Linked DNA regions of Rattus norvegicus. The protein of the gene in region 1 interacts with the protein of each later gene in a pairwise test. Links are inferred from orthologs where the notes say so. Each region holds a gene or a part of one and is shown in the gene's direction. Other genes may lie near its edges. The genes, in order: Homer3, Mos, Pom121, Pax6, Eif3d, Usp2 and Pkn1.

What was found.
Region 2: the proteins of Homer3 (region 1) and Mos interact in binary tests that used the Homo sapiens proteins (3 or more experiments, as listed by UniProt). The two-hybrid records come from large-scale screens. The link is inferred for Rattus norvegicus from reciprocal best matches to the Homo sapiens genes HOMER3 and MOS.
Region 3: the proteins of Homer3 (region 1) and Pom121 interact in binary tests that used the Homo sapiens proteins (3 or more experiments, as listed by UniProt). The two-hybrid records come from large-scale screens. The link is inferred for Rattus norvegicus from reciprocal best matches to the Homo sapiens genes HOMER3 and POM121.
Region 4: the proteins of Homer3 (region 1) and Pax6 interact in binary tests that used the Homo sapiens proteins (3 or more experiments, as listed by UniProt). The link is inferred for Rattus norvegicus from reciprocal best matches to the Homo sapiens genes HOMER3 and PAX6.
Region 5: the proteins of Homer3 (region 1) and Eif3d interact in binary tests that used the Homo sapiens proteins (3 or more experiments, as listed by UniProt). The two-hybrid records come from large-scale screens. The link is inferred for Rattus norvegicus from reciprocal best matches to the Homo sapiens genes HOMER3 and EIF3D.
Region 6: the proteins of Homer3 (region 1) and Usp2 interact in binary tests that used the Homo sapiens proteins (3 or more experiments, as listed by UniProt). The two-hybrid records come from large-scale screens. The link is inferred for Rattus norvegicus from reciprocal best matches to the Homo sapiens genes HOMER3 and USP2.
Region 7: the proteins of Homer3 (region 1) and Pkn1 interact in binary tests that used the Homo sapiens proteins (3 or more experiments, as listed by UniProt). The two-hybrid records come from large-scale screens. The link is inferred for Rattus norvegicus from reciprocal best matches to the Homo sapiens genes HOMER3 and PKN1.

The regions. Positions count from the first base shown.
Region 1 is NC_086034.1:19,169,027-19,172,008, reverse strand, and holds part of Homer3 (homer protein homolog 3), read left to right. Parts: intron 1-1,284; coding exon 1,285-1,392; intron 1,393-1,946; coding exon 1,947-2,065; intron 2,066-2,773; coding exon 2,774-2,930; intron 2,931-2,982. UniProt on the Homo sapiens protein: Postsynaptic density scaffolding protein. Binds and cross-links cytoplasmic regions of GRM1, GRM5, ITPR1, DNM3, RYR1, RYR2, SHANK1 and SHANK3.
Region 2 is NC_086023.1:21,656,958-21,660,755, reverse strand, and holds Mos (proto-oncogene serine/threonine-protein kinase mos), read left to right. Parts: upstream 1-1,899; 5' UTR 1,900-2,069; coding exon 2,070-3,098; 3' UTR 3,099-3,207; downstream 3,208-3,798.
Region 3 is NC_086030.1:26,911,828-26,916,601, forward strand, and holds the start of Pom121 (nuclear envelope pore membrane protein POM 121), read left to right. Parts: upstream 1-1,685; 5' UTR 1,686-1,690; coding exon 1,691-2,259; intron 2,260-3,570; coding exon 3,571-3,786; intron 3,787-4,326; coding exon 4,327-4,485; intron 4,486-4,774. UniProt on the Homo sapiens protein: Essential component of the nuclear pore complex (NPC). The repeat-containing domain may be involved in anchoring components of the pore complex to the pore membrane. When overexpressed in cells induces the formation of cytoplasmic annulate lamellae (AL).
Region 4 is NC_086021.1:112,596,626-112,600,662, forward strand, and holds part of Pax6 (paired box protein Pax-6), read left to right. Parts: intron 1-1,778; coding exon 1,779-1,909; intron 1,910-2,686; coding exon of another isoform or gene 2,687-2,728; intron 2,729-2,823; coding exon 2,824-3,039; intron 3,040-3,740; coding exon 3,741-3,906; intron 3,907-4,037. UniProt on the Homo sapiens protein: Transcription factor with important functions in the development of the eye, nose, central nervous system and pancreas. Required for the differentiation of pancreatic islet alpha cells.
Region 5 is NC_086025.1:111,419,598-111,423,024, reverse strand, and holds the end of Eif3d (eukaryotic translation initiation factor 3 subunit D), read left to right. Parts: intron 1-1,595; coding exon 1,596-1,738; intron 1,739-1,900; coding exon 1,901-2,184; intron 2,185-2,551; coding exon 2,552-2,565; 3' UTR 2,566-2,674; downstream 2,675-3,427. UniProt on the Homo sapiens protein: mRNA cap-binding component of the eukaryotic translation initiation factor 3 (eIF-3) complex, a complex required for several steps in the initiation of protein synthesis of a specialized repertoire of mRNAs.
Region 6 is NC_086026.1:53,309,298-53,314,086, forward strand, and holds the start of Usp2 (ubiquitin carboxyl-terminal hydrolase 2), read left to right. Parts: upstream 1-1,572; 5' UTR 1,573-1,656; exon of another isoform or gene 1,657-4,691; intron 4,692-4,789. UniProt on the Homo sapiens protein: Hydrolase that deubiquitinates polyubiquitinated target proteins such as MDM2, MDM4 and CCND1. Isoform 1 and isoform 4 possess both ubiquitin-specific peptidase and isopeptidase activities.
Region 7 is NC_086037.1:41,345,134-41,349,901, forward strand, and holds the start of Pkn1 (serine/threonine-protein kinase N1), read left to right. Parts: upstream 1-1,721; 5' UTR 1,722-1,895; coding exon 1,896-1,916; exon of another isoform or gene 1,917-2,356; intron 2,357-2,620; exon of another isoform or gene 2,621-4,768. UniProt on the Homo sapiens protein: PKC-related serine/threonine-protein kinase involved in various processes such as regulation of the intermediate filaments of the actin cytoskeleton, cell migration, tumor cell invasion and transcription regulation.

The DNA.
Region 1 (2,982 bases):
GCCTTGCACATGCTAGGCAAGCACTCTACCGCGGAAGCTAAATCCCCAACCCCAACCTTGAATTCCTAATCTGCCTGTCTGTGCCTCGAGGGCGTAGACAGCAGCAGCAGGTATAGCTTAAACTCTGTGGGGTGGGAAATGCCTCTATGGTGAAGGGCTGCTTGTGCAGACGAGAGTTCAATTCCCAGCACCCACTTGGTGACTCATTACCTTCTGTAAGTCCTTGGAGGGGAATTTAAGGACTCTGGTTTCTGGGGGCACTTACACATATGTACACCCACACAATCAACAGTAATAAAAACAAGTTTTCTTTTAAAAGTTTTTATTATATTGAATTATTTCTGTGTTGTGCCTGTGTGTGTGCATGTGTGCTGTGTCAGTTCCCTCCTCCCATGGAGGCTCCAAGGACCAACCTTATTATCATTGGGCCTGCAGCAAGCTTACTGAGTCAGGATTGCACCAAACTCTGAGATCCTCCTGCCTCTGCCTCCTGACTGCTGGGATTGAAGGTGTGCGCCACTCATGCCTGACTTTATTTTATTTTATTTTATTTTTTTTCCGGAGCTGGGGACCGAACCCAGGGCCTTGTGCTTGCTAGGCAAGCGCTCTACCACTGAGCTAAATCCCCAACCTTCATTTACTTTTTAAAAACTGTTTTTATGTGCACGCGTGTTCGTGCCTGTGTGTGTGTGTGTGTGCGGATGCCCCCCAAGACCAGCAGGGGCCGTTGGATCCCTGCAGCTGGAGTCACAGGCAGGCGTGTGAGAGCTGCCTGCAGTGGTGTGTGACCTGAGGTGGCTTCTCTACATCAGCCTGCCCTCATGACCGCAGAGCGTGGCTCCGGTCCTCATGTGTTCTCTTTAATAAACAAAAGTTACGTTAAAGTGAAAAGAAGACACATCACTGTAACCACAGAACCAGCGTTCGTTAGTTGTCAGCTGAGGAATTTAGGAGAAGGGGCTCCCACTGGCTGTGGATGTTGTCCCTGTGTTATGACATACTGGCATGTTTGAAGGACAGATGGGCAGCTAGCCTCAGGCTGGCCAATCAGCCTGACAGGAACAGAGTCCCTTTCTGTGTGGCGTGGTTCAGAACTTTTTAATGTCACCTCTGGAATTCACCAAACCCCCTCCCTCTGTGTGTCATTCTGACACCCAAGAGGCTCACAGGGTTGACTCTTCCCAAAGGCCCCAGGGTGACAGGGCAGGTACAGGTTGGGGTGATGGGAGGTATGATGGGAGATGTGGGAAATGCTTTCTGACTATCCCCCTCCCTCACCCCCAGTTTGCTGAGAAGTTTCAGGAGGTCAAAGAAGCTGCCAGACTGGCTCGGGAGAAATCTCAAGATGGTGGAGAACTCACTAGTACTGCCCTGGCCATGGCCTCCCACCAGGTAGGTGTTCCTACACCCCATGTCTATAGTACCCGGTGACTACCACACCCCTGAGGCAGCTATATATGCTTCTGATCTCAGGGTCCATGCACTGTGCTAGTGTCCAAGGGTGGCTGGTGGCCTTACTGCATTTATGTCTGTGTGCATACACAAATGTGCATGTGCCTGGGTGGGACTCCAAGGACAACTCGTGGGAGTCAGTTTTCTTCTCAGCAGGGCATCAGGCTTGGTGACCGGCTCCTTTACCTATGAGCCCTCCTGCTGGCTCGTGCCTCAACTTACCTGGAGGAGAGCAGCTCCAAGTGTTTGGATTCCTCTTTCTGTAGGTTGTTTCCATTTGGCCCTGAGGAGTTAGTGAAGGCCCAGGCAGGTGAGGGACAGGATCCCCCATCCTGAGGCTCCAAGGAGCTATGGAGGGTGAGGAAGGAGTACTGGTCATCATGGTCAGTTCAGATGCCCTGACCTCAGTCCTTGCTTCAATCACCCTTACTTCCTACCGAGTCCTTGGCTGAAGCAAGTGCTCACTGTGACCCCGTCCTGGCTCCCATGCACAGGTTCCTCCAAGCCCCTTGGTCAGCACCAATGGTCCAGAAGAGAAGCTGTTCCGCAGCCAGAGCGCGGACGCCCCTGGCCCCACTGAGCGGGAGCGGTTGAAGAAGATGCTGTCAGAAGGGTGAGGGGTGTGGTTGGCCGAGCCTGCTTGAAGCCAGGTTGGGCCTAGCTGGGGCCTAAGGGGTGTCTTGTGTCCAGACTGAACTTTTGGCTGGCAAGGCATGGTGTTTCTAGTGTCAGGGTCTTAAATGTCATTAAGGGAGTGTAGCTGGTACCAGGGGTGTGCTAGGGCGGGGCATCCGCAGGACAGACTATTAGGATGGTGTTCTAGAGTCAGGGTCCTGGCAGGTATTAAGGGGCGTGGGCATTGGGATGGACGTGGGCATCGAGGTGAGACCCATGGTGGACTGGTCTGCTGCAGATGAAGCTGGGTAGGGGTTGGGGGTGTAAGAATCTGGCCTGCAGACCTGGGAGAGGAGGAAGCAATAGGCTCCTGCTTCATCTGGAAAGCAGGCTGCACTTTCCTCATTTGCACCTCCATCTCCTTTGACCGGGCCCCTGACCAATCTGGAGGGCAGGGATATGTTTTCAACATTTTTGGAGGTAGGGTCCCAATATGTAGCCCAGAACTCATTATAGTCTAGGCTGACATCATTCTTAAGCAGTTCCGCCTGTCTCTCAGCCTCTCATGAGCCACAACACCTGTCACAATTTCATGGTCCCACTCCTTGGCTTAGTGTTGCTTTGGCCCTGCTTAGTCCAGGATGCCCTGCACCAGATGCTGCTTGTCCTGACCATGCACACCCCCAGCCCAGTGTCTTCTCCACAGCTCCGTAGGGGAGGTCCAGTGGGAGGCTGAGTTCTTTGCACTTCAGGACAGCAACCAGAGGCTGGCAGGGGCCCTTCGAGAGGCCAACGCGGCCGCCACTCAGTGGAGGCAGCAGCTGGAGGTCCAGCGTGCAGAGGCTGAACACTTGCGGCAGCGGGTGAGGACAGCTGCACCCCCACACCCCTTCTGCCCTGGATCAGTCCCCAGAG
Region 2 (3,798 bases), on another chromosome or scaffold:
GCTAAGGATGCTCCTCTGTAGCACTGTCGTGGGGTTAACAACCATCTCTGACATTTGCTAGGCAAAGCAGTTAATAAATGCATTTCCACTCAAAGGTGTTTGCAGCCTGTGATGGGGTTATCAGGGTATAATCCATCTGCAGTTTTAAATACCCACAAAAGGAAACAAGTAGAGGGCAGTGGGCACGCCATTAAAAGCCTCGAGTAGACAGTTGATGGGCGGAATGAGCTCAGATTTGTGCACACACACCAACTCACCCTTTCACTGATACCTTGCATTTTGGATGAATACTAGACTGGACTTTAGAAGTGAAGTGTTTATGAGGTTGTCTTAAAACTAAATATTACAAAATAATAAATCACATCGTAGTGTATTTTGTGTGATACCCAGAGGTTCAAGGTGACCTATCATATTACTCTTAAAGCTCCTCAAATCCACAGGTCATAGTCCTGAACTGTAATTTTATCTGTGTGATGGCTGAGCAAATTTGCAGAGTAATTTCAGTGCTCTTAAATTTTGTCACGCTCACTGTTTTCCTTTTTCAGTTGGGTTTGATATACATGTACAAAATGGGGGTTCTATTAAAATGTTCCACTGTTTACGTGTTTAACATTTTGTCCCTTAATATATTTGAAACTACTCAACTTTTATTCTCCCTAAATGTTTACTTTCTTAATTTATTACATAAAGCATCGAGGCTGTAACAATTATATACTCTGTGCAAGATGACACTAAACCATATCATCACCATTAAGCAGAAACCTGGAGTTTTGTGAACTTTGAGTTTTTTATATAAATGGCTCTCTGTTATCAACTTGCCTTCTCAAAATCTGTGATTCTGAGGTCAGAAGGACACAGCTGCCACATAAACACTGACCACTTATCACCATGTGCACAAAAACACGTTCCTGCGTGGCTAGAAAGTGTAACTCCTAACCACTTTGAGAAACCGTTTTTGAATGAACAGAGCAAGGTTGTTGTTCTTCCCTACTCCCCGGAAGATAGGGCATGAAAAGCAAACACATTATTATAAAACCAAAAACGACGAATGTGTGGTTTGACGGCCAGACCCTGAATTTATGTTCAGTATCTGATGGGGACCAGTGACTCTGGGCATGTCTGTCCTGGCTTTTCTCCTGTTTCTCCATGATTGCTGTTATTTTCAGCTATGGTCATCACAATCACCTTTGTCCCTTTCTTCCTCCTTCCAACTCTGCGTTAAATTCCAGGAACTTGTTTGCTGTGAAGTCTAGAATCTGTCTTGAAGCAAGCTTGCTCTGTGACCTAACTTGCCTGGGAAAGGAAGGGACGGTAGAAGTCAGTGTGTTGTTAAGGAGTCTTAACTTGCTGTTTAAATGAAATACAGTGTCAGATTGCTCCCTTCTGATGGACTTAGGAGGTACGAGTTCTGCCTTCTATCCGAGATTGTATTTGGATCAAAGACATTAAAATTACAGATGTTAATTCTTATGAAGGTTGCATCTAATAACCCTGCCAAGTAGTTCAACAAGTGTCTGCTGTTTGTACTGCAACTCTTGCAGCCAATAGCTGCTGGGACTGATTTAATGCAGCTGGAGACTAGCACGAACAATCATTATAGCCTGAAAAGTGTGCACCAAGTTCACTGTACTTTTGCTTTTCTCTTCAGTCTAAGGACCAATTAATGATCGTCAGAAGGTCCTTGAAATGTTTTTTCATTGTATTATGATTCAAGAATTAGTTGGAAGGAGAGGTGAGCTTTGGGGCAGGCCAGTACTGTTTAACAGGTGAGAGGTTGTTTTGCTAAGGATTCACTTTAGCTGTGAGAGAGCAATCGTTTCATCTGAGACTGCCAGGCTTCATCTGCACGCCCAACCCCACCTGATAAAAAAAAAAACAAAACAAAAAAACAAAAAACCAACCTTGCTGAGCAGCAAGACGTGAGAGCACAGTTGTGGCTGGTTTTGAGAATACAAGAAGAAGGGAAATGGGATGAAGGCGGAAACCTTCAGCCATGCTTCCAAACTTCCCTGGGTGTTCCTGGTCATTTCTCTCTAGCGTCTCTTGTGACTGTCCCATCTGAGGGTGTAATGCCTTCGCCTCTCATCCTGTGTCGCTACCTCCCTCGCGAGCTGTCGCCAACGGTGGACTCGAGGTCCTGCAGCAGCCCCTTGGTGGCCTCGAGGAAGGCGGGGAAGTTCCTGGGGGCCACTCCTCCTCGGGCCCCGCGGCTGTCACGCCGGCTGGCCTGGTGCTTCATAGACTGGGGACAGGTATGCCTGCTGCATAGGCTGGGTTCTGGAGGGTTTGGCTCGGTGTACAAAGCCACTTACCACGGTGTTCCTGTGGCCATCAAGCAAGTGAACAAGTGCACCAGGAACCTACGTGCATCCCAGCGGAGTTTCTGGGCTGAACTGAACATTGCAAGGCTGCACCACGACAACATAGTCCGGGTTGTGGCTGCCAGCACGCGCACGCCGGAAGGTTCCAACAGCCTTGGTACCATAATCATGGAGTTTGGGGGCAATGTGACTCTACACCAAGTCATCTACGGTGCCACCCGCTCCCCAGAGCCTCTCAGCTGCAGAGAGCAACTGAGTTTGGGAAAGTGCCTCAAGTATTCCCTAGATATTGTTAACGGCCTGCTTTTTCTCCACTCACAAAGCATTTTGCACTTGGACCTGAAGCCAGCGAACATTTTGATCAGTGAGAAGGACGTTTGTAAGATAAGTGACTTCGGCTGCTCCCAGAAGCTTCAGGATCTGCGGTGCCGGCAGGCGTCCCTTCACCACATCGGGGGCACGTACACGCACCAAGCTCCGGAGCTCCTGAAAGGAGAGATCGCCACGCCCAAAGCCGACATCTACTCTTTTGGCATCACCCTGTGGCAGATGACCACCAGGGAGGTGCCTTACTCCGGCGAGCCTCAGTACGTGCAGTACGCAGTGGTAGCCTACAATCTGCGCCCGTCACTGGCAGGGGCGGTGTTCACCGCCTCCCTGACTGGGAAGACGCTGCAGAACATCGTCCAGAGCTGCTGGGAGGCCCGCGCCCTGCAGAGGCCGGGTGCAGAACTGCTCCAGAAGGACCTGAAGGCTTTCCGAGGGGCACTGGGCTGACTCCATCGAGCCTGTGTGCAGATAAGCTTTTCGTTTCTGTTTATTTTTAAATAAGTAAGGATGGGCTTTTAGGGCATATTTTTAGAAAATAAAGTTACTACAAACTTCAGCCTGAAGTGCCTTTCCTAAGACTAACGAGGGTACAGATATCATGGGCACCACTCACGGTTGTTAAACAACCTGAGCCCTTTGTGTGTCACCTTTCTGGGTCTACTGTATCATTTCCGTAGTAAGGTTTGTTCCTGAATGAAAAGAGAAAGGGGGTGGGAGGAGGGGGCACTACTCCTAGGAATGAAGGAGAAAGTTTATTGCGGATACGAGGGAGACATAGGACATAGTCATAGACATGGACATCTGGCTGAGAAAGCCCAGAGCGGACATGTTCCTGAGCCATGTGAGAAGTAGTAGGAGGAGAAGGGGGAAGGAAGACAGAAGTAGGTACAGCAGCTGGAAGATTCAAAACGGGAGGGGGAGCTAAAATGGATTATATAAGAAAGGACAGCTGGGGAAAGGGCAGCCCAGTCCCTGGGTTGGAGAAGTTTAGGGCAGAGGGTGGGGCGTGCCAGTCTGGAGCACTCTGTAGTAGACAGGGACTGAGGGATGCAGGGAGAACCTGGCAGCAGGTCCACTTCGATATGTTAAATAGGTACCTCAGCCCTTCGTCCTGGGTTTGAAAACTAACAGTTACTGATAAAGAATA
Region 3 (4,774 bases), on another chromosome or scaffold:
TGCAGGGGTCTGGCACCTTCACAGAGGCAAAACACCAAAAGATCATAAAAGAGAACCACAGCATAAGACCAGAGCTGACAGGCAAGGTTGTGGGCATGTGCCTTTTATGGACAAGCCTGGGACTGCCCTCTAGTGGCAGCTACACAACAAAGCCCTACTGGATTAGACCTCAGAAACTAAGAAAATCGGTCCTGAGCAGGACCACCCTGTTTCTTGATTATAACCAGTGCTCGTTGTCATTAATCAGTTCAGCTAGTATTTATTAACAATGTGCATTGTCTCTGAACTCTAACCCCTGCCTCTCCTGCTTCTCTATCTAGCCATCCCTCCATCTTAGCCTTCCCTCCCCCTGTCTAGTCTTATCTTGCTCTTGATTGTGGAGGAACAGCTTTCAATGTATAATCTTAAAAAAAAAAAAAAAAAAAAGGAAGAAAAGGGAAAGAAAAAAACACAGACTAGGAAGATTGGTACAGCACTTGCTGAGCAAGCTTACCTGGGCACAGCAGGGAGTCCCTGTAATCCCAAACACAGAGGTAGACACAAAGATTTTTTTGTTTTTGTTTTCTGACCAGCCAGCCTAGCCAGTTAATGATATCTGGGTTCAGTGAGAGACCCTGTGTCAAAAAAAATAAGGTCGAGTGTAATTGAGAAAGACACTGCTGTTGATTTTCAACCTCCATGCATGCATACACACGTACATACACAAAAGAGTAAGTCAGATGTGGTGGCGTGCAAATGTAATCCCAGCATATATTCAGGCAAAACACACATTTAAAAAATTATTTATTGGGGTTGGGGATTTAGCTCAGTGGTAGAGTGCTTGCCTAGCAAGCACAAGGCCCTGGGTTCGGTCCTCAGCTCTGGGGGGAAAAAATTATTTATTGGGGCTGGAGAGATGGCTCAGCGGTTAAGAGCGCTGACTGCTCTTCCAGAGGTCCTGAGTTCGATTCCCAGCAACCACATGGTGGCTCACAACCACCTGTAATGGAATCTGATGTCCTCTTCTTGTGTCTGTAGACAGCTACAGTGTGCTCACATACATAAATATTTTAAAAAATTATTTTGACAGGGTCTCACTGTGTAGTTCCAGCTGGCCTGGAACTGACCTCTGGGATTAACAGTGAGCTTCCACGTAGGGTTTGATTGATCGGGTTTTGTTTTGAGGCAGAGAGGAGTCTCACTAAGTAGCCCATGTTGACTTAGAACTGGGGATCCTCCTGCCTTCACCTTCCAAATGCCGGGATTACATTAATGTGCCACCAATCTTGGCTCTGTGCCTTGATTTCTACCACCACTCTTCCGCAGTCCGGGAGCGTCAGGGAAACCTCAAGCGTCCAAACCGGCTGTCAGACGGGCTATATTTTTTTTTCTTTCTTATTTTTTAGTTTTTGCTGTTTTGAGACAGGATTTATGTCTCTATGCCGCTCTGTAATTCTCTTTGTGAACCAGGCTGGGCTCAAACTCACAGAAATCCTCCTGCCTCTGCCCCCTGCGTTCTGAGAGTAAAAGCCTGCACCAATACGCCTATCCAAACTGTATTTTTCAAAATACGCTCTCGCGCCTCGCTCCGCACGCTGCGGCAGTTCCCCTTTTCACCCGGCGCGCCGCGTCGAGGACAGTGACGTAGGCGGCGGCGCGCGGCGCGGTGTATCCTGGGATATTTAAGTCCGCTCCGCGGCGCGGAGCCGCGATGTCTCCGGCGGCTGCGGCGGCTGACGGAGGCGAGCGGCGGCGGCCTCCGTTGGGCGTACGGGAAGGCCGGGGCCGGACCCGCGGCTGCGGAGGACCAGCGGGTGCCGCGGCACTGGGCCTAGCGCTGCTCGGCCTCGCGCTCTACCTAGTGCCCGCGGCGGCCGCGCTGGCCTGGCTGGCCGTGGGGGCGAGCGCGGCCTGGTGGGGCCTGAGCCGAGAACCCCGCGGCCCGAGGGGCCTGTCGTCGTTCGTGCGCGAGTCGCGCCGTCACCCGCGGCCCGCGCTCACCGCTTCACCGCTTCCAGCCAAGTCGCCAGTCAACGGTAGCCTCTGCGAACCCCGCAGCCCGCTTGGAGGCCCCGACCCCGCTGAACTCTTACTCATGGGCAGCTACCTGGGCAAGCCAGGCCCGCCGGAGCCTGCCCTCCCGCAGGACCCTAGAGACAGGCCAGGGCGCCGCCCACCCTCACGGTCCCCGCCGTCGTCTTCGACGGCCCAGCGAGTCCACCACGTCTACCCCGCGCTCCCCACCCCACTTTTGCGACCTTCTCGGAGGCCGCCCCACCGGTAAGCCCTGGCTGTCTTCCCAGGGTGGGTCTCTGCGGCAGAGGATTAAACCTAGAATCTGATTTAACTTACCTTCCCTTTTTCTTTACTTTGCCTTTTCCCTTTCTTTTTATCCTTACTCCCTTTCTCTCTTTTTCCATTACTCTCCTTTCTCTTTACTCTTTTTTTTTTTTTCCTCCTTTTTCTTTTTTAAGGTAGGGTGTTTGGTGGCATAGGCTGACTGGTCACAAACCCTTTCTTTGGCTGAGTCTGGCCTTGAACTCATCCTCCTGCCTCCATCTTCTGGGTGAGTTCACGGACAGGATTACAGGTTTGCACCAGGTTGTATGCTGTGCTGGGATCGAATCATAGCTGGCAGGCAAGCACTCAACCCATTCCCTAGTCTTTGGGGTTTTTTTGTTGTTGTTGTTTTGTTTTGTTTTTGAGACAGGATCTCATATAGCTTGATCTGTCCCTTGAACTCACTCTGTAGGTGAGGGTGACTTTGGACTGCTGACCCTACTGCCTCCACCTACTAAGTGCTGGGATTACAGGTGTGCTCCACTACACTCAGCCTAGATTCTGGATAAAAGCATTTTTATTTTTAAATTGCATATGCATGTAGAGATCAGAGGACAGCTTGCTGGAGTCATTTTTCTCCTTCCATGTGAGTTTGAGATTGGTCTCAGGTCATTAGACTTGGCAGCCAGCTTAAGTCATTTCACTGTCCTTGATAAGTGTGCCTAGTTGAGTTGATGAATACCCGTTAATGTTTGGTTTTTGCTGTGTATTGTATATTTCAAACACAAGTTAGGGGGAGGAAAAAAAACTATTCCTACACACACCAACTGCATGTGCTTTTCTTCCAAAGTACCTGTGTGGGCAAGGTTTTCAGTTTCCCTCTTTTTTTTTTTTTTTTTTTTTTTTATGTTAATCGTTGATGTTCTTGTTTTTTGTTTTTGTTTTTTTTATTAACTTGAGTATTTTTCAGTTTCCCTCTTAATTTGGTGAAGTCCACAGTAGAGACAACCATTAAGCAACTGATACTTCCTGCTTTCGGATGAAATGGGAGAAATTTGCCATAAAAATGCTACGTTCCCTGTTGCTTGAGAAAAAGGAAAGTTTAAGCTGTTAGTGTCACCGAGCGCTTTGTCTAGCATGCACACACCCCTGGGTGTCATTACCACCACTGTCAAAAAATAAGATAAAAATGGAAAGAGAGAGGTTGATACTCTCTGGAAAAGAAGTGTTATTGCCTCTTGTTTCTGCAGTCAGTTGAGTTTGGTATTAAGACTGTGGCTCCAGCACGTGTCTCTGTCCTGTTCTCCACAGAGATTGTGGGCCTTTATCCAGTCGGTTTGTTATAACACCCCGAAGACGATATCCCATTCAGCAAGCCCAGTATTCCTTGCTGGGGGCACTTCCAACCGTATGCTGGAATGGTGGCCATAAGAAAGCCGTGCTATCTGCACGGAACTCGAGGATGGTGTGCAGCCCAGTGACAGTGAGGATTGCCCCTCCAGATAGCAAGCTATTTCGATCACCAATGTGAGTACCTGTGTGTGTGTACAAACTTGTGTGTGCACGTAAGCACCTGTACCTGTGTGGAGACCAGAAGAAGGCCTTAGGACTCTTTCATTGCCCTCAGATTTTTCCTTTGAAGCCAGAGTTTCTCTGAACCTGAGGCTCCTGTTTCAGTCTAGCTGTTCCAGCCCCAGTTGTCCTTTTTCCTTTGGAGCTGCGTTTATGGGGTATGCAGGATCCCTGGATGGTTGTATGGGTCCTGGATCTGATCTTCAGTCCTTGTGATTGTGCAACTCTGTCACTCTCCAATGTGCACGTACTCACAAGCACACGTATGCGCATATTCACAGACCAGGCTGGCCTGAAATTGAGTAGCTCAAGCTGTCCCAAAACTCAGGATGATCCTCCTGCCTCTTACTGTTGGGATTAAAGGCACAAGCCACCATTCCTGACTTAGTAGTCATGGTAGTCAAGGCCTTGCTTGTTGGTTAGCTTCTGGATTCTGTTCTGTACATGCATGGTAGTTAAAATAGCCTGTCTCCAGAATCTTCTCTCTCATTATAGGCCGGAGCAGATACTCAGCACCACACTGTCTTCACCATCAAGTAATGCCCCAGACCCTTGTGCAAAGGAGACGGTGCTGAATGCCCTCAAGGAAAAGAAGAAAAGGACAGTGGCAGAGGAAGACCAGCTGCATCTTGATGGCCAGGAAAACAAGAGAAGGTAATAGGCGGTCTCAGTAGAGTGTAACTCCTTCCCAGGGGAATCAGAGTAAGTGTTGGTGACTACCATGAAGATATAAGGGGCCCATCTCCAGTATGAACCATGGAGAAGCTTGGTAACAAGGGCTTTAGTAGTGCTCACCTCTTAGGGCACGGGTTAGGTAAGTGTCGTCCTTATACCCTTAAGCCTGCATTGGCATTGGCCCTCACTCACCACCCACCCACTCAACACACCCTTCCCTCCCAGAGTTCTGAGGCAGATCCATGTTAGACTCTACAACTCCTAGGCC
Region 4 (4,037 bases), on another chromosome or scaffold:
CCTTGCCCTGTTTAAGAGGCCATCTCTTGCAATGTGCAACGTATCCTCTTGCACTGGCCCGGGACGGCCGGACCCAGATCCCTAAACGCCTGTCACTTCTCATCGAATTGAGGCCCCGCCCCCCCTCGGCGAGCTATAACCCTCCTCCAGCCTCAAGCCTCAAGCTACCCAGAAAACGCAGCTCCCCTTGAAGGGGAGACGAGTGCAGTTCATTCTCGTCTGAGTGATCTACAAATAGGGACGGAAAGGGTCGTTTTATCACGGTCCCGTTTGTCGTGACGATGCAATTTCCCGGAGCGGAGCACTGTCACAAAGTGACAAGGCTGCCACAAGCGCCCCGACTGATCTTTTCAATTAGCCTTCCATGCATGATCCGGAGCGACTTCCGCCTATTTCCAGAAATTAAGCTCAAACTTGACGTGCAGCTAGTTTTATTTTAAAGACAAATGTCAGAGAGGCTCATCATATTTCCCCCCTCTTCTATATTTGGAGCTTATTTATTGCTAAGAAGCACAGGCTCCTGGAGTCAATTTATCAGGAGGCTCCAAGGAGAAGAGAGGAGAAGAGAGGAGAGAAGAGAGGAGCTGAGAACCACATTTCCTGAGAGGGCTTCTGTCTAGACACGGGGCTGCAGGTTGGAGATGTCTGAGGAAGTGGAAAGAGGGGACTGGCTTTATTTTTATTCCTGTGGTTTCTGAGGAGGATAATTCATGGAGGCGCTCCTTCCCTCTCGCCCTAAGTCTCTACGACCAGACAATGGGAAGAGGTTGTGAGACAAGAGTGGAAGGAAGGACCGACCGGTGACACTGTGATGTGGTCTTTTTCTGTTTTGGGTTTCTGTTAATATTTGTATCCTTGGCTGAGGGGGAGGGTGGAGTTCAGCAGGGGAAGTAAAGCGAGTAGTGGCGGGTGGGAAGGCTCCTGGCTTCTGAGCACGACTTGGGGGCAGGCAGATCACTGTGTGAGTTGGGGTTCCAACCCTATTCCTGCTATGGAGGTATGGATTGGGAGTCACTAGCGACAAATTTATCTTTCTGGCTCTTTTACACACACACGTACACACACACACACACACACACACACACACACTCACACACACACTATGCTGTGTGCTGTGCACCTCTGCCAGAGTTAAATCACCATGCTAAGGTTTTATAACATTCTGCCTGGCCGTGCAGGGCTTGGGATTTGCAGCACTATTCTAACACTGCAGAGACTTCTGTGTGGACTCTGGTGACACTCAGAGGTGATGTAGGAAGGAGACTTTAAAAGCTTGATGTTTACCCCTTGTGGGTTCCAAGAAGGGCTGGGAGAGCTTATGAAGGTGGCAGTGGGCTCAGGGAACTACTGTGGTGATGGTGGTACTGGGTGGGTATATTCCTGGGTATTCTCCTGGGTCTGACAACAGTCCAATGGGTAGGTCAATTGTATTTGAAGCTGGGCTCCCCAGTACCCTGCATGGTTGGTGGTTCTGTTGTTGGGTGTTTTTGTTTTTGTTTTTTAAACCAGGACCTAATTGCTAAGGTTCACACAGGTTGGCAGGGAGCTGAGGTTGCATTGTGGTCTTTTCTTCCTTCCTTCCTTCCTTCCTTCCTTCCTTTTCTTCTTCTTCTTCTTCTTCTTCTTCTTCTTCTTCTTCTTCTTCTTCTTCTTCTTCTTCTTCTTCTTCTTCTTCTTCTTCTTTCTTCTCCTTCTCCTCCTCCTCCTCCTCTTCCTCTTCCTCCTCTTCCTCCTCCTTCTCCTCCTCTTCTGCTCTCCTCTCCTCCTCCTTTCCTCAGGTCACAGCGGAGTGAATCAGCTTGGTGGTGTCTTTGTCAACGGGCGGCCACTGCCGGACTCCACCCGGCAGAAGATCGTAGAGCTAGCTCACAGCGGGGCCCGGCCGTGCGACATTTCCCGAATTCTGCAGGTGATCCTCCCGTGGCTGCCCTACTTGCAGCTCCCTACCCACCCTACCCCGCCCCTCGTCCCGTGGTCCTCCACTCTAAGCGTCCTCTCTTCATTTCTTACTGTAAACACTACTAATTATGGACCAACCCACCCTCACCTAGTCCATCCCCACCAACTTCCCTACCTTCTAGCTTCCCCTCTCCTTCCGCCACGGTCCCTATCTCTTTCAACCTCAGTCAGTTATGTAAGATAATTCATCTGCGTAAGAAAAAGAATGTGAGTGAATTAAAAAACTACATCTTTTCATTTGGTAAGGACATTCATTGTGGTAACAGTGTATAAACTGTAATGAGCTGAGTTATATAAACTGGGATAATTTCATTCCCCTCTCCCCATCCCGTGCTAACCTCAGATTTTAGAGATTTGTCTGCATCCACCATGCTTGTGAAGAATGTATATGGATTTTCAGAGGCAAATGCTATCTATTCCTAATTCACATTTGCTCAGTTGGGCAAAATTTTAAGGGAAAAAAAATTCGATTATTTTCCCTTTGTTCTTTAAAATCTAATACTGCTTTAAGCAAGGTCAGCACAAAAAAATTAACCTGACTTAGTTTTGATGCATCTTCACACAGTGTTTAGAAAAATAGTTTTTTTGAAAGCTTTTTAAAAAATAATTCCAAGTGTTTGAAAGTATCATCATATTTGTAGTTTTAGGGCTACAGATGTAATTTTTAAGGAAAAAAGCTCTCTATAGTAAGTTCTCGTACCATTGAAGGTATATTTTTGTGTTATAGACCCATGCAGATGCAAAAGTCCAGGTGCTGGACAGTGAAAACGTAAGCTTGTCATTGTTTAATGCATACTTAAACAATTTTATTTTTGTCTTGAAATTATTAATAATGTGGTTTTTTTGTCCAATTCCCCAATGCAGGTGTCCAACGGATGTGTGAGTAAAATTCTGGGCAGGTATTACGAGACTGGCTCCATCAGACCCAGGGCAATCGGAGGCAGTAAGCCAAGAGTGGCGACTCCAGAAGTTGTAAGCAAAATAGCCCAGTATAAACGGGAGTGCCCGTCCATCTTTGCTTGGGAAATCCGAGACAGATTACTCTCCGAGGGGGTCTGTACCAACGACAATATACCCAGTGTAAGTTCATTGTGAACACTGTCTCCCACGCACCAAGCTCCTCACTCTCTCCCCATCTCTGGCACTTCTTTATCTCCTCCGGCTTTTCTCTCCCAATGCCTTATCATCTCTCTTCCTCTCTTCCCTGATTTGCATGGGTCTCCAGGGTACCTGGGGATATGGAGAGGTGGGCTTTACCTTTTTGACCATCTGGAAAATGGGAGTCAAGGGTGGGGAGTAGTTCACTTCATTTGTGTACCACAAACCAGGGGTCAAAGGAATTAGGGAAAGGCACTTGAATCAAGGAGGAAAATGAAAATGAAAATGGAAACCAGATTCTAAATTCCCCTCAAAGCACCTTCCTGAAGCTTCTTTCAGGCAACATGCATCCATTTCTGCTCTATGATAAAGTAAATCTCTAAATTAAGTTGAAATCTTTTATCATGGAGTCTTTCATCAAAACCAAGCAGCCCGGTGAGCTGTCGTTAGTGATGTTCTACAGAGGTGAAAGGCTGCTCCTTCCTTTTTATCCAATTTCATTTCCAGGAATAATATGATAGCTGTCATTCTTTCCACAATATAGCTAAAAATCCACGGACTGTCCCAGGATGGCTGGGAGCTTTTGCATATGTCATTCTTTAAAGCTTGGGAGAGCTGAGATGGGGACCTAAGATTGGGTGACTATGTCCTTAGGAGACACCACCATTTGGTTTGATTTGCAGGTGTCATCAATAAACAGAGTTCTTCGCAACCTGGCTAGCGAAAAGCAACAGATGGGCGCAGACGGCATGTATGATAAACTAAGGATGCTGAACGGACAGACCGGAAGCTGGGGCACCCGCCCTGGTTGGTATCCCGGGACGTCAGTACCAGGGCAACCCACGCAAGGTAAAACTCAAGCAGCTACCTTCCCGAAGTGGTTTCCTCCTCTGGGCTCCTACTGCTTAGGAGATGAAAGGGGTTACTATCCTTGAAGGCTTAGGTACCCCAAGTCACACTTTGTAATTGTTGTTTGTGAC
Region 5 (3,427 bases), on another chromosome or scaffold:
TATCTTCAAGCACTTTAGTCTGTTCATTCTGGCTATTGGCTCCTGTGGTCTGTGCATCTGATCTTGACCTCACCTTATCTTTGGAAGCTCTGGCCTCTTTCTTTACTCAGCCTCATTGCCACCTCATGATCTCTTTATCCAGTTCTGTCACTGCTGACCTCCAAAGACTAAGATCTGGACAGACACGCACACACAGTCCTCTTTGCGTTATCCATTTCCAGTGCTGCAGGACCTTAAGGTCAGGCGACGTCCTTTCTCCCTGGCTCTGTGTGTGGTGCCCTGAATTAAAGTGAAGGGCACGGGTAGGTGTTGCCTCTGTACGGAATAGAGAAAGGGTAGGCTGAGGTCCAGGCAGCCTGTGATGATTGCTTGCTATCAAGATACGGCTTAGGGAGCCATTGTCTTGGGGCCAGTGGCCTTCTAGACTTCTCCTGTGGTATCTGTGTTTCCACACACCCCTGCCCCACTCAAGCGTGGGGTTTGCCCTGGTGGACCCTTAGGGTAAATTCCCCATGCAGCTTATGTCCCAGAGTACTTTATACTTCAGTGTTCTCTTGCCTCACAAACACATGACAAGAAACTTAATGGCTTAAAACAGCACCCACAACTGGAGTTTAGTGAGCAGGCATTCAGCCTGTTATGGTTTCATTCTCTGTTGCGGTGTCGTGGGTGGCAGTGACCATGACTGTAGAATGGAGTGTGTTCCATTGGAAAGTCCACTGGGAGTTCATTCTGGATCTTGCAGAGGTCAGGTCCTTTCAGTGGTCTAGCTGAAGTCCCTGTTCCTTGCCAGCGTTCAGACCCCCCTTTGCTCTTGAGTCCTCGCCCTGACCCGGTGTTAATTATAAGCTCCTGCTCATTGCAGTCCAGGAACCCAGGCAGCTCCCATCTCATGCCGGTGCTTTTTCCTTATTTTCTTACTCCATTTGGGAGTCTGCTAAGGGAGTCTCTCTTCCTGAGCCTGTCATTTGGTATCTCATCTGCCTGACCACTATTCCATTCAGTTCTGTGTGTAATTGTCCCCAAGATGGTGTCAGAGCTCTTCAGTATCACGGTTCTCTCACAAATTTTAAGGGAATCAGAGTCGGTTAGATGCTGTTCTTGGAATGGTGGGGACTCCCTGCCTTATTACTTTGTCTGCCTTACGACCTTGGACTGCCCCACTCCCCACATCTGGAAGTCGGTATGCCTGTGAAGAAAGCATCAGGTGCTGGGCTCTTCCTGCCCAGTCATCACAGGCTGCCTGAGCCTCAGAGCTGTCCTTACCAGTATTCTTTATCCTGTACAGAGGCAACACCTACCTGTGCCCTTCTTGGCCCTACCTCAGGCTGGCCTACCTGCCTCTCAGTTCTGACCATCCTTCTCTGTGTTTACTGTGAAGCCCCTTTTTACCACACAGCACCCTTGCCACTGAGTTGTGCCGGGTCACCCATCACCATCTGGTTGAGGGGCTGCTGTACAAAGATGGGTGGTCACCACTGTACCTCTGACTCTGGCATACTCTTCCCTTCCTAGTGGTCCCGTGTCTTCTGTAGGAAACCCTGGGGTCCCGTGGGAGGTGCCACCCTCACCCAGTAACCAGCTTTCTTCTGCAGCATTGTAATGGCGTTGACTGGCGTCAGAAGCTGGACTCTCAGCGTGGGGCTGTCATCGCCACTGAGTTGAAGAACAACAGCTACAAGTTGGCGCGATGGACGTGCTGTGCTTTGCTGGCTGGCTCTGAGTACTTGAAGCTCGGGTGAGACTCCTGTGCAAATGCTGGGGCAGGCCTGGATCAAAGGCTGCTCGTCCCTCCTCTACTTTGGGAAAAGAGCAGACCATGCATTACCACGGTACTGACCCCAGGCTTTGCCGTCTCTCTGTATGGCCTAGTGTGACCACCCATCCTCCTCCCAAATAGGTATGTGTCCCGGTACCATGTAAAGGACTCCTCGCGCCACGTCATCCTGGGCACCCAGCAGTTTAAGCCCAATGAGTTTGCCAGCCAAATCAACCTGAGTGTGGAGAATGCCTGGGGCATCCTGCGCTGTGTCATTGATATCTGCATGAAGCTGGAGGAGGGCAAATACCTCATCCTCAAGGACCCCAACAAGCAGGTCATCCGAGTCTACAGCTTGCCTGATGGCACCTTCAGCTCTGAGGAGGACGAAGAGGATGAGGAGGAAGAGGAGGAAGAAGAAGAAGGTGGGCAGAGTGGGCCTCTAAGCCTGGGTGGTTTGAGGGCTGGTGAGGGAGCCAGGCTAGCTCTGTGGTCACCTTCACCTTGGCAACACATGAGAACTTCCTGGAACTTTTTGTGGGGTGGCAGTCAGATCAGAAAGAGGGCAAGGAGAACATTAAGAGAAGGCCTGGGCAGTTTCGAGAGGATCCAAGGCTTTATGGTCAGATAGACCACCTGAAAAGCCTCCCTGGTAGCTACAGAAAGTTGCAGAGGTTAGGAGGGCTCAGCAAAGAGGAGGCCTTCAGCACTCAGGTTTCTTCAAGGTCCAGAAGGAAAGGGTGTGTGGCATCATGGGGTGAAGCTCATTTCTCTTTGTTGTTTTTCTTTCAGAGGAAGAAACTTAAGTGAGTTGGCCTGGTGCCTGCGTGTGTTAGCACCTAGCTGTGCCTGGGCAGCGTGTGTCCAGCTCCTGTTCTCTAGCAGAAGAAATAAAATTTAAGTCCTTTTGGTTTCTTCCTTTGTCCTGTGCTCCCATTGTGATCTGCAGCCCTTCCTTCTCCCAGCAGCCCCTGGGAAAGGGAGACCAGAGCCAGAAGTTTGTGTGGCCTGGCTGCTGCTGAGTAGTTCCATCTCAGCTGGGGCACTGAGAACTGCATTCCCTGTGGAGGGTGAAGGCCTTGAGTGTTAGTTTCAGAACCCATGACAGGCCCTTTCATGCAATTTGAGATGCATTATGGGGGAAGAGCCCTCACAAAAAGTCCTGTTACCCAGTGGTTCTCAACCTGTGGGTTGTGACCCCTTGGGGGTTGAATAACCTTTTCACAGAGGTTGCCTAGGACCATCAGAAAACATGTTGTGATTTGTTAGCAATAATAATCACAGTTACAAAGTAGCAATGAAAATAATTTCATGGTTGGGGTCACAATATGAGAAACTATTAAAGTGTGCTGGTATTAGGAAGTTTGAACTACGATGTCTTCCTAGCATGACCTAGGTGTGCCTTAGAAGTTATCACCAAGGGCAGGGCATGGCTGGGAGGTGGTCCTTGAGGAAGACCTCTTCAGTCTGCTGGGTGGTGATTTTAGTTACTTACAAGGTTGACCTGGGATGGGAAAGCCTCAAACCAGTCTGCACAAAGCAATGTGTCACATAGCGTGTTTAAAGGCTCTGTGGACTGCGTGCTTTTTTGAACACTAGTAATTGTCCCACCCAGGTAATTGCCCAAGTATTCTTGCCTGCCCCTCAGGACTGGGGTATGAGTGGGAG
Region 6 (4,789 bases), on another chromosome or scaffold:
AGGACCCAGTCTGAGTCAGTACCGTGTGCTGAGACAGGGTGGAGGCACCAGCCCCGGGGCCTTCCAGTCTCCAGGGAGAGCCATCAAGAAACAGAAGAAATCATCTTGGGAGCAGACAGGTGCACCGAGGCCAGAGAGGCCCTCCTGTCATGACCCTGGCCAGCCTGCCCTTGATACCCCGGAAGCCTGAGCCCTCCAACAGGTAGACTGGAACTGCCCCTCTGGAGCCAAGCATTCTCCTGGCAGCCCAGAGAAGCCACACTTGATTTATATATATATATATATATATATATATATATATATATATATATATATATATATATAATTTTTTTTTCTGAACAAAGGGGAAAGGAGTGTGGCCTGTCGCCTTGGGAAAGTGGCAAAATCTGTCTGACTTTTCCATTTGGGAGATGTGGACTAGTTCAGAAAACCACAGGGCTGGTGTCTGGTGTCGCAATCCCGGGGGGTAGCCCAAAGCCTTTATCTTCTATTAAGGGTTGTCTGCTACAACTGCCATTAGTAATGAATAGATGAATGGACATGGCCAATAAGCCTGGCGTTATTGAACCCTGGCTCTGTTTGAGGAAGCTTAAAACTATTGTTTTATCCTTATCCTTGTGAGATGTAATCACACCTTATTATTCATGGTTTTTGTTTATTTGTTCCTTTGAGTTTCTCCTTTGTGTGCATTTGTTTGGTTGGGTTTTTTTGGTTTCCTTTGGTTTGGTTTGGTTTGGTTTGGTTTGGTTTGGTTTTGAGACAGAGTTTCATTGTGTTGCCCTGGCTGTCTGCTTTGTAGACCAGGCTGTCCTTGAACTCAGAGATCTGCCTGCTTCTGTCTCCCAAGTGCTGGGGATAAAAGGCATGCGCCACCATACTAGCTCTATGATTCAGTTTTACAAACTACATAGCTAAGATTCAGAGACTTAAGTATCCTCAGAAGTTATCTTAGATCCATGAAGGGAAAGAATAAGAATTCAGGCCTAGACCTAGAAGTCCACTGTAAAAACAGTAGTGGACTGAAAACCAAGGGCTGGTCCCAGCCACTCTTCTCTGCCCGTGTCCAGAGAGGAGCTAGGTCCTCCCTATCTTTTTTTTCCTTTTCTTTTTTTTTTTTTTTTTTTTTTTTTTTTTCAGAGCTGGGGACCGAACCCAGGGCCTTGAGCTTGCTAGGCAAGCGCTCTACCACTGAGCTAAATCCCCAACCCCGGTCCTCCCTATCTTAAAACACCAGCAGCTGGGTTAGCAGTTTGGCCTCTTCGTGTTCGCTCAACTTGTGACGGACAGCACTAGAGAATCCACCTTCTCCATGTCTGGGACTCAGACTCATCCCCAGCCCTCTGCTCTGACCCCTGATCCTTCCTGTTATTTCCAAGTATTCCCAGGATTCTGGCTCATTCTCTGCTTCCACCCAGTCACTAGGCATTGGGTGGAAGGTGGGCTTGTCACTGCCCCTTTAATTCTCCTGGGGCCTGGAATGCAAGTGAGTTGCCATCTCGGCGAGGTCAGATAAGATACTATATATATCTAGCTAGCGTAACCTGAGCTCCGGATTACCCAGCCCCAGTCAGACTCCAGCTTCTAGACTCTACAACAGCCGTCTTTTCCCTGCGAGGAAAGAAGCCCCCAGATCCCATCCAGTGCCCCCGGACACAGGTCAGTAGCCCTCTCTTTGGTGTCAGAGCTTCAAGTATGGCTAAGTAAAGCCTCATTGAGTTCGGGAGAGCATTTGAGAGGCTGCCCGCTGGACTTGGTGAGCGTTGTAACCAAACCCAAATGCTCCTCAAGATATGGGGACAGAGGACAACTGAAGCCCTAAAGGTGGGGGGGTGAGACTCTCTCCAGGGCAGGGAGCACTAGGAGGGGTACTTGAGCAAAGGGGGTGAAGAAGAAAATCACAAGATACCTTCTGCTTCTAGGAAGCCTGTTTCTTTGCCTTTTCTTGGACTTGTAGAGATATCTATCCATCCCAACCCCAAATCGAAAAACACCCTGTGTGATCCCCCCCTAGGCCCACCCACCTCTCCACAAGCCAGGATACTTGTCCTGATCTCTCTCATCTCTGATCTCTTCACTTTACCTCTTCAACTCCCATCCCCTCCCCAAGTTCTGGGCACCTCCAAAGTGCAAGAGAAATGGAGACCTGCACAAATTCCTTTACAGGACCTCCCCTCCCCAAAGCGAGAGGATTCTGTGATAAAAGTAGGTGGGTTGCTGCAAGCATCTGATAGAGAGCAGTGCTAGCAACAGGTCAGAGGGTCAGGCTCAGGGCTCAAGAGGCCTGAGAGGAGCCGATGGTATAATGTAAATGTACAGCTCTTGCCATTTTCTCCACTCTGTCAGGGTGGACACTTGTGGCCAGAGAGTCTAGCAAGGGATCCAAGCAGCAAGGAGGAAGGGTCATAGGTGTGACAGGGTGTCTATCCCCCTCTTAGTCCTCAGTCAGCACATTCTGATACAATTAGCAGGCAGCTTTGGGAAGCTCTGAGGTCACTACTGCGGAGGTTCCCGAGCACCTAGTGAGACTGACTGGGTCTCCCTGCTGACCTGCCCTGAACATCTGGGTAGGAAGAAAGGGACTTAGTGGTGTTTTAGGTGTGTCCATGAAGTGTCTTGTAGGGTAGAGGACGTAAGTGAGGGCAGTGACAAAGCCACAGATGTGGCTAGGCCTATGCCTCAGAAAGATGAGCCCATCGGGACAGAAAGGGGCATGAATCTGCTAAGAGGTGGTGTATCACCAGTCCTCTGCCTCCAGGGCCAGGAGTGTCTGGGATTCTTGAGGCTTAAGTCCCTCCTCCAGCTGGGCAGGTTAGGGAGCCCTTCACGTGAGCTACAGGAAATGACAGTGACTGATGACAGTGACTTGATGCCAGGTGGTTGGTTGCCTCAAGGGAACAGGGTTCGTTTCAACCCCTGACTCACCTAGTGTGGGTACTTTGGGGAGTGGGCTAAACTGCAGCCGTGGGAAGGAGGCTCAGGGATATGTCTGCCACCAAGCTGGGGCCCAGAAGCCTGTGCTGGGGTAGATGCCAGTACCAGGGGACACACAGGGCTTGGCAGAGAGGATGAAATAGAGGCCTCGATCACCATCTCTCCCTCGATCAGTATTGTGCTGCAGCTCAGGTTACACCAGGCTTCATTTTCATTCACTTACAGTGGAAAATCCAGGGGCTGCTCCCGCAAGCAGCCTTCTCTCCTAGCGGGATAAATAGGCGTGGGCATCCTGGAGGGGTCCTCCTTTGACTTCACAGGCCCATGGCCCTGCTTTCAGGACAGGGGATGGATGGCTTCAGGGTAGCTGCAGTGAACAGAGCTCAGTTCCCACCCAGCAGAGACAACTGCAGCAGCCTGACAGCGGGAGAGGGTCCACATGACTTGCAGAAAGAACTGATTCGGGTTGGGGATTTGGCTCAGTGGTAGAGCGCTTGCCTAGCAAGCACAAGGCCCTGGGTTCAGTCCCCAGCTCCGGAAAAAAAAAAAAAAAAAAAAAAAAAGAACTGTTTCCTTACCCACAAATAGACGCATTGATAGCATGACCGCTTAAAGCTGCCGGGGGAACTGAGTTAGTGTGCTAGAGCCCTAGTCGGTGCATCTTTAAATGTTAAGATCTGAAATATCGGGGGCTGGGGATTTAGCTCAGTGGTAGAGCGCTTACCTAGGAAGCGCAAGGCCCTGGGTTCGGTCCCCAGCTCCGAAAAAAAGAACCCAAAAAAAAAAAAAAAAGATCTGAAATATGGACAATAAAACTTTACTTAAGTTTCACTCTTAGGGGCTCATACTTAACAATCCCAGCTCTTGGGATATGAGACAAGACAGAGACTTTGAGGTCAGCCTAGACTCGTCCAAAAAAACAAAAACAAAAGCAAAACAAGGCACTATTTAAATTTCTTGTACATTTAAAAATACGAATTTTTTTTCGTTTTCATTTAACGCAAACAATATAGCCTTTGCAATTATGTTTCTTAAACCTGAGAATGTATGCATCTAAAAAAGTTCAAGCTTTCGTCTGCCTTGAGATTTTCAGGACCTCTACACTTAAGGACACTGCCAGGAAGGCTAGGGAGGACCAAGTACATACAGGATGAGGCTATCTGGCAGACAAAGTCAAAAGCTGCATTCAAGGTCCTCAGTGAGTTCTATGCCTGGTCTGTAGGTGTGTGGGACCAGTTGGCTGGGAGCCTTAGCTGCATGGCTCCGTTGTCCCAAGAGGAAGCCAAGTGCATCTGTGCAAAATGATGCCACCATGCCAGTTTCTGTGGGGAAACTTTGCAAAGCGATGGAGACTCTCAGAGAGAAGGGAGACATCAAAATCTCTGTTAAAAAAAAAAAAAAAAAAGGCAAGAGTAGGAACTACCACCACCACCGCCACCGTTGTCCAAGGTGGCAGGCCCCTGGGGAGGTGCAGCCAGCAGCCACATGCCTGAACTTGCCAGTTCTGGAAAAACAATGAGAGAAGCCAGGCAGCAGGGGCCCCACACTGGACAGGGAGGAGTGTGGGGAATCCCAGCCAATAGGCTGGCCTCCCACTGCCCCATGAAAGAGCCATTCAGTCCCAGGCGTTCCTGTGGCAACAGGGAGACTCAAAGCCATGAGAGTGCTGCCCGTCTTGCGCAGCAAGGCCATAGGCAGATTCCCCAACTGAAGCTCCCGCCCATGGTGCATTCAGTAGCCTCCAGGGACAGCAGGACCAGGTAAAGCCAAGAAATACTAATGTAGTAAACTGTCTTCTCACCTGTGAGGTGCTGGAACTTTTGTCCAACAAAAGTATTGCTTAGTAGAGGGGAGAGAT
Region 7 (4,768 bases), on another chromosome or scaffold:
CCAAGTCCGTGCCCTCCTCATCTGTAAGATGGGTGGGTTCCTTGCCTATTATGCAAGGGACTATGAACATCATGGCTTGATTATGAAAGCAAGGGGCGTCTCTCTTTTATCAATCGGCAAAAAGGAAGTTGGATGTCTGGTGTGGCAAGTTATTTTATTCCCTCCACAAACCTTTGAGGTAGAATGCGGATGTCAACTTGTTGAAGCCGTGAATGAACACAGATGTGGAGAGAGCAGGGGCAGCAGATGACAGAGGGGCTCCTCCTGGAAATGTCTAGACTTAGGCCCTGTTGGTCTGTGGTTTGGGGAAGAGAATGTAAGGAGGAGGAGGAGGCTGAGGGACAAGGAAGAGGCTTCTACTGTAATCCTGATAGTTCAGGGATGGTGTGCTGGCCCTGTTCAGGGCTTAGGGAAGGTGAACCACCCCACCCCCTAATGATAGAGTGCAGAAGAAAAGTGGTCTTGTAAGTTACTCACTGACCACCACACATTTGCCTTGGATGTGCGTGTATATGCACGTGAACACACACAATAAATAGTGTAAAGATTAAAACAGGAATGGAAGAGATGGCTGGGTATTTAGAGTATACTGCTCTTGTAGAAAACCAAGTCTGGCTTTATAACTTCATTTTAGGGGATCCCATGTCCTTTTCTGACGTCCAGAGGATCCCCACACATGTTTCATAACTCCCACAAAGAAACACATATATACACATGTGAGAAATCAAATATGAGTCTTTCCTAGCAAATAGTATACAACTTGTGTTTTGGACAGTTGTTAAAAAAATCGTTCTCGGGGGCTGGGGATTTAGCTCAGTGGTAGAGCGCTTACCTAGGAAGCGCAAGGCCCTGGGTTCGGTCCCCAGCTCCAAAAAAAAGAACAAAAAAAAAAAAAAAAATCGTTCTCTCCCCTACCTTGTAGGACTTTTAAGGAGATGTTTTAATTCTCCCCGCATCACAAAGGCCACCCTACTCCATTCTAGAAAATTGATTGCTTAGAGCAGTGACCCCTTTCCTCCTCAATTTCCTCTGCGCCAAATTTTTTTCAGACTAGCCAATTGAATAAGAGTGCGAGGTCACCTGAGTTAGAATAGAAACCAAATGCACTTCCTGTCTTCTCTTAGCTTTTCCGCAGCACACTGTTTTGATGAAGAGTAAAGTTTGCCTTGTTCGGACATTTCATTTTGAAGGGTGGCTTCTTCCTTTGCCATCCCGGAACTTATTTCTAACACACATGAATCAAAATAGAGTCTTTAAAACAATAAGCTAAAAGTGACAGCCACTAGCGTTTATTGCTCACTTGGGGGTCTGTACACTTGCCCTACTCTTCCTCATTAAGTTTTACAGCCATCCTTGTCCTAAGAGGTACGGTGGTCCCCCAAGGCCCAGGACACAGGCATTTGAGTTGAAGTCAGGCTCTCCCTGTGCTTGCCTACGGGTAAATGGGAGGATGGATGCCTCTATGCAGCTAGGCGGTGTGTGTAGGGAGGTGGATCGTGACTTTTGCTTTCAGAGGGGTCCGAGGTGGGGGACAAGGTTCGTGAGACTCGCGGCCGCTCAGGCCTGTTCAGAGTCCCCCTACGCTATGAGGAGCGCTTGCCACGCAGCACAGCGAACAGAGATCCCACTCCCCGCTGCAAGCCCCGGGGGCCGCCGGGAGCCCCGCCCCCGCCCCCGCCCCGCCTCCTCCCCAGGCGCGGACCTCGGCGCTCACGTGACCCATCCTGCAGCCGCTGGGGCCCGAGGGCGCAGCTCGGCGGAGGCCTGGCCAGGCCGGGCCGAGCGCAGCAGGCCGGATCGCGCAGCGCGCCAGGGAAGGTCTGGGCTCCGCGCTTCCCGCCCCACACGCCGACGCGCTCGCAAGCCCTCCCTCGGCGCTGGGACCCCTGGCGGACATGGCCGGCGACGCCGTGCAGGTAGGCTACCCGCGGAGCGGCCGGACGGCGCGGAGGACCCCAGGCACGGGTAGAATCCGAGACGAGGTCCCCATCCGGAGCCCGCGCAGGCCCTTGTAGCAGGTGGAGGCGCCGACCTGGTTGGAGGAAGGGGTGCTGTTCGGGATTCTACCACTGCATCCCCTCTTCCGGCCCTCCCCGAGAGTCAGCGGGTGCAGCGGGGTCCCCACTTCGGTGTCCGAGGCCAGCTGCGGGTCCCGGTGCCTCTCGTCCCCACGCCCTACTCTGGGTCCTCAGCGTTCGGTTTCTGGCAGGTGCCGCTTCACCTGGAGCAGGTGCCTGGCACCCTGCCGCGGACCGGAGGAGTGCCCGGCCCGATCCCCTCCCCCGCACAACAAAGCCCGGGCCACCTCCGCCTGCAGACGTCTTTACGATGGTCTTGACGCCACCCAGATGGGCACCTGTTGGAGGAAGTATCTTAAGTCACTTCATTAGGCCTGAGGCAGGGTTCCTCCTTCCGCCCTGTTCCCCGTAACCACCCTTCAGGCTGACAGATGGAGCTGTAACCCAGGTGGGGCGTGTCCTGTCACACAGACAGGAAGGATTTTATGTCTGGAAGGTGACAGGGCTACTCCCCCCCCCCCCCCCGCAACAGACACCTGTGACTGGCATCTGCCAGCCACATAGCCTTCCCTGTGTGACCTGTTGGGTGTTACTGAACTCACCTTCCCAAGAGGAAGCAAGGTCGGGGTGACTGACTTCTCACCCTCTAATTCAGTGGCCCAAATCTGAGGTCTTTGTATCTTCGTGGCTCCATTAGTTCTTCACCATGCAGTCCATTGTCCTGTGTAACCAGTTCTCATCTCCTTCTACACCTGCCCCCATGTCTCCCCTGTACCCTCCTGTACCCCTCTTCCCCAGTCCTGCTGATGGCCTGCCGGCCTTGCCGAGGAGCTGGGCGTATCTGGTGCTGCCGATCTCACAAGGTCAGACCTCCAGGCTGATGCACCGGTGCCAGCTCCCCTTCAGACCCACTGAGGGCTGTGTAGGGCTCTCCCAGTACATGCATGTGCTTGGTGTGTCCCACATAGGACACATATGGAGGCTGCGATTCCCAGAATGAGGCAGGACCTACATCTTGTTCCTGTTCTGGTCTTCTCCCATATGTTCATTCCCGCTTGGACTTGCTGCCCTGTTCCACCAGCTCCATGTCTGTGTGTTCTGTGTCTGGCAAACGGATGTCCTGTCTAGATTCTGGAAACGCCCCAGGCATTGAAATCTCAGGAAATGGGGTTTTGGGTTCCTAGCCACTTTGCCAAGAGGGTTTCCCCCATGGTGACAGTTCTTGGTCTGGTGTCTCCAGATCTGTAATGGCAGGTGGAGAAGCTGACACTCTTAATTCCTCAAGACCAGGTCAGGCGTTTGCCCTGCTGCCCTCAAGTGACTCCTTGTCCCTGGGCAGAAGTGACTCACCCAGGGGAGGAGGACAAGGAGGCCCTGCCTCCCTCCCTGCATGCTTTTCATATTCTCAGGCCTTCTCTGCTGGAGGTGGGGCCTTCACCTTTCCTCTGCTCGAATGCTTGAGCTGGCCCTGCTCTTGGCTGTGTACCTGCTTTGCCTGCTGGGTTTGGGGCACTGGTGGGTGACAGTGGGTGGGGCCTGGTTATGTCAGAGTGTTGCTCAGTGAGGCCGGGTTTAAATACCAATGCTGCCTTCCCTGATGAGTTCTTGGGTCAACTGCCTTCGCCTTACTGAGTCTTGTATCTGTTTCGGAGGAGGCAATGGGTTAAGAATAGTGACGAGGGTCTGGCGGTGGTGGTGGCACACACCTTCGTGTGGGAGGCAGAGGCAGGCAGGTCTCTGAGTTTGAGGTCAGCCTGGTCTATAGAGTTCCAGGACATCCAGGGCAACTCAGAGAAACCCTTAGGGTGGGGGTGAGGGTGGAGATGATGGTTATGGGGAGAGAGGTGGGGCTGCAGCCAGTCCTGTGCTTCTGTGACATCTTTACTTTGAACATGGAGCTTGGCAGTCTAAGCTGGGAGCCCATGTCCCTCTCCAAGGCCCCAGCAATGGCCTTTGTGCCTGGATCATTTGGTGGTGGGGGGCTATCCTGTGCCCCTCAGGATGGTGACATTTGACAGGTGCCCCCTCTATACTTTGGTTGTAATGACAACAAGAATGACCTCAGACATTGACATGTGTTTCTAGAGGGGAGGAGAAGGCAACCCCAGCTTCACTGAGAGCACAGCTATGGCCTCTTTGAGCCTCAGTTTTTCCCTGTGGTGACTACTGCTCAGGTACACAGTGAGGAGATGACAGGGTCACAGGATCTGTGTTCTTGGCCTGCACCCTCATCTTCCCTCCAGAAGGGCTTACGAGCCTAGGAGAACATCACTTACTGTGATGGTGGCTCACTGCTGCGAGGTGTGGTGGACGTGGGCTTCTTCCCGGCTAGTGTCAATCTTGGACTTCTCTCTTGCTGCCTGTGGACCTGTGTCATGCCCCCTTCTCTAATTTTTTTTCTCTATTCTATACCCTGCTATTCTCTCCTCTGTCACAGATAGCTTGACCATGTTCAGTCTACTAATTTTTTTTTTAATTTCTTGTATATAAGTACACTGTAGCTATCTTCAGACACACCAGAGGAGAGCTTTGGATCCCAATACAGATGGTTGTGAGCCACCATGTGGTTGCTGGGAATTGAACTCAGGACCTCTGAAAGAGCAGTCAGTGCTCTTAACCGCTGAGCCATCTCTCCAGCCCTCTAATTTTTTTTTAATTGAGACAGGGACTCGCTGTGTAGCTCTGGCTGCTCTGGAATGCTAAGAGATCTCTAACCCCTGCCTCCTGAGTGCTCGGATTAAAGGCAGCGA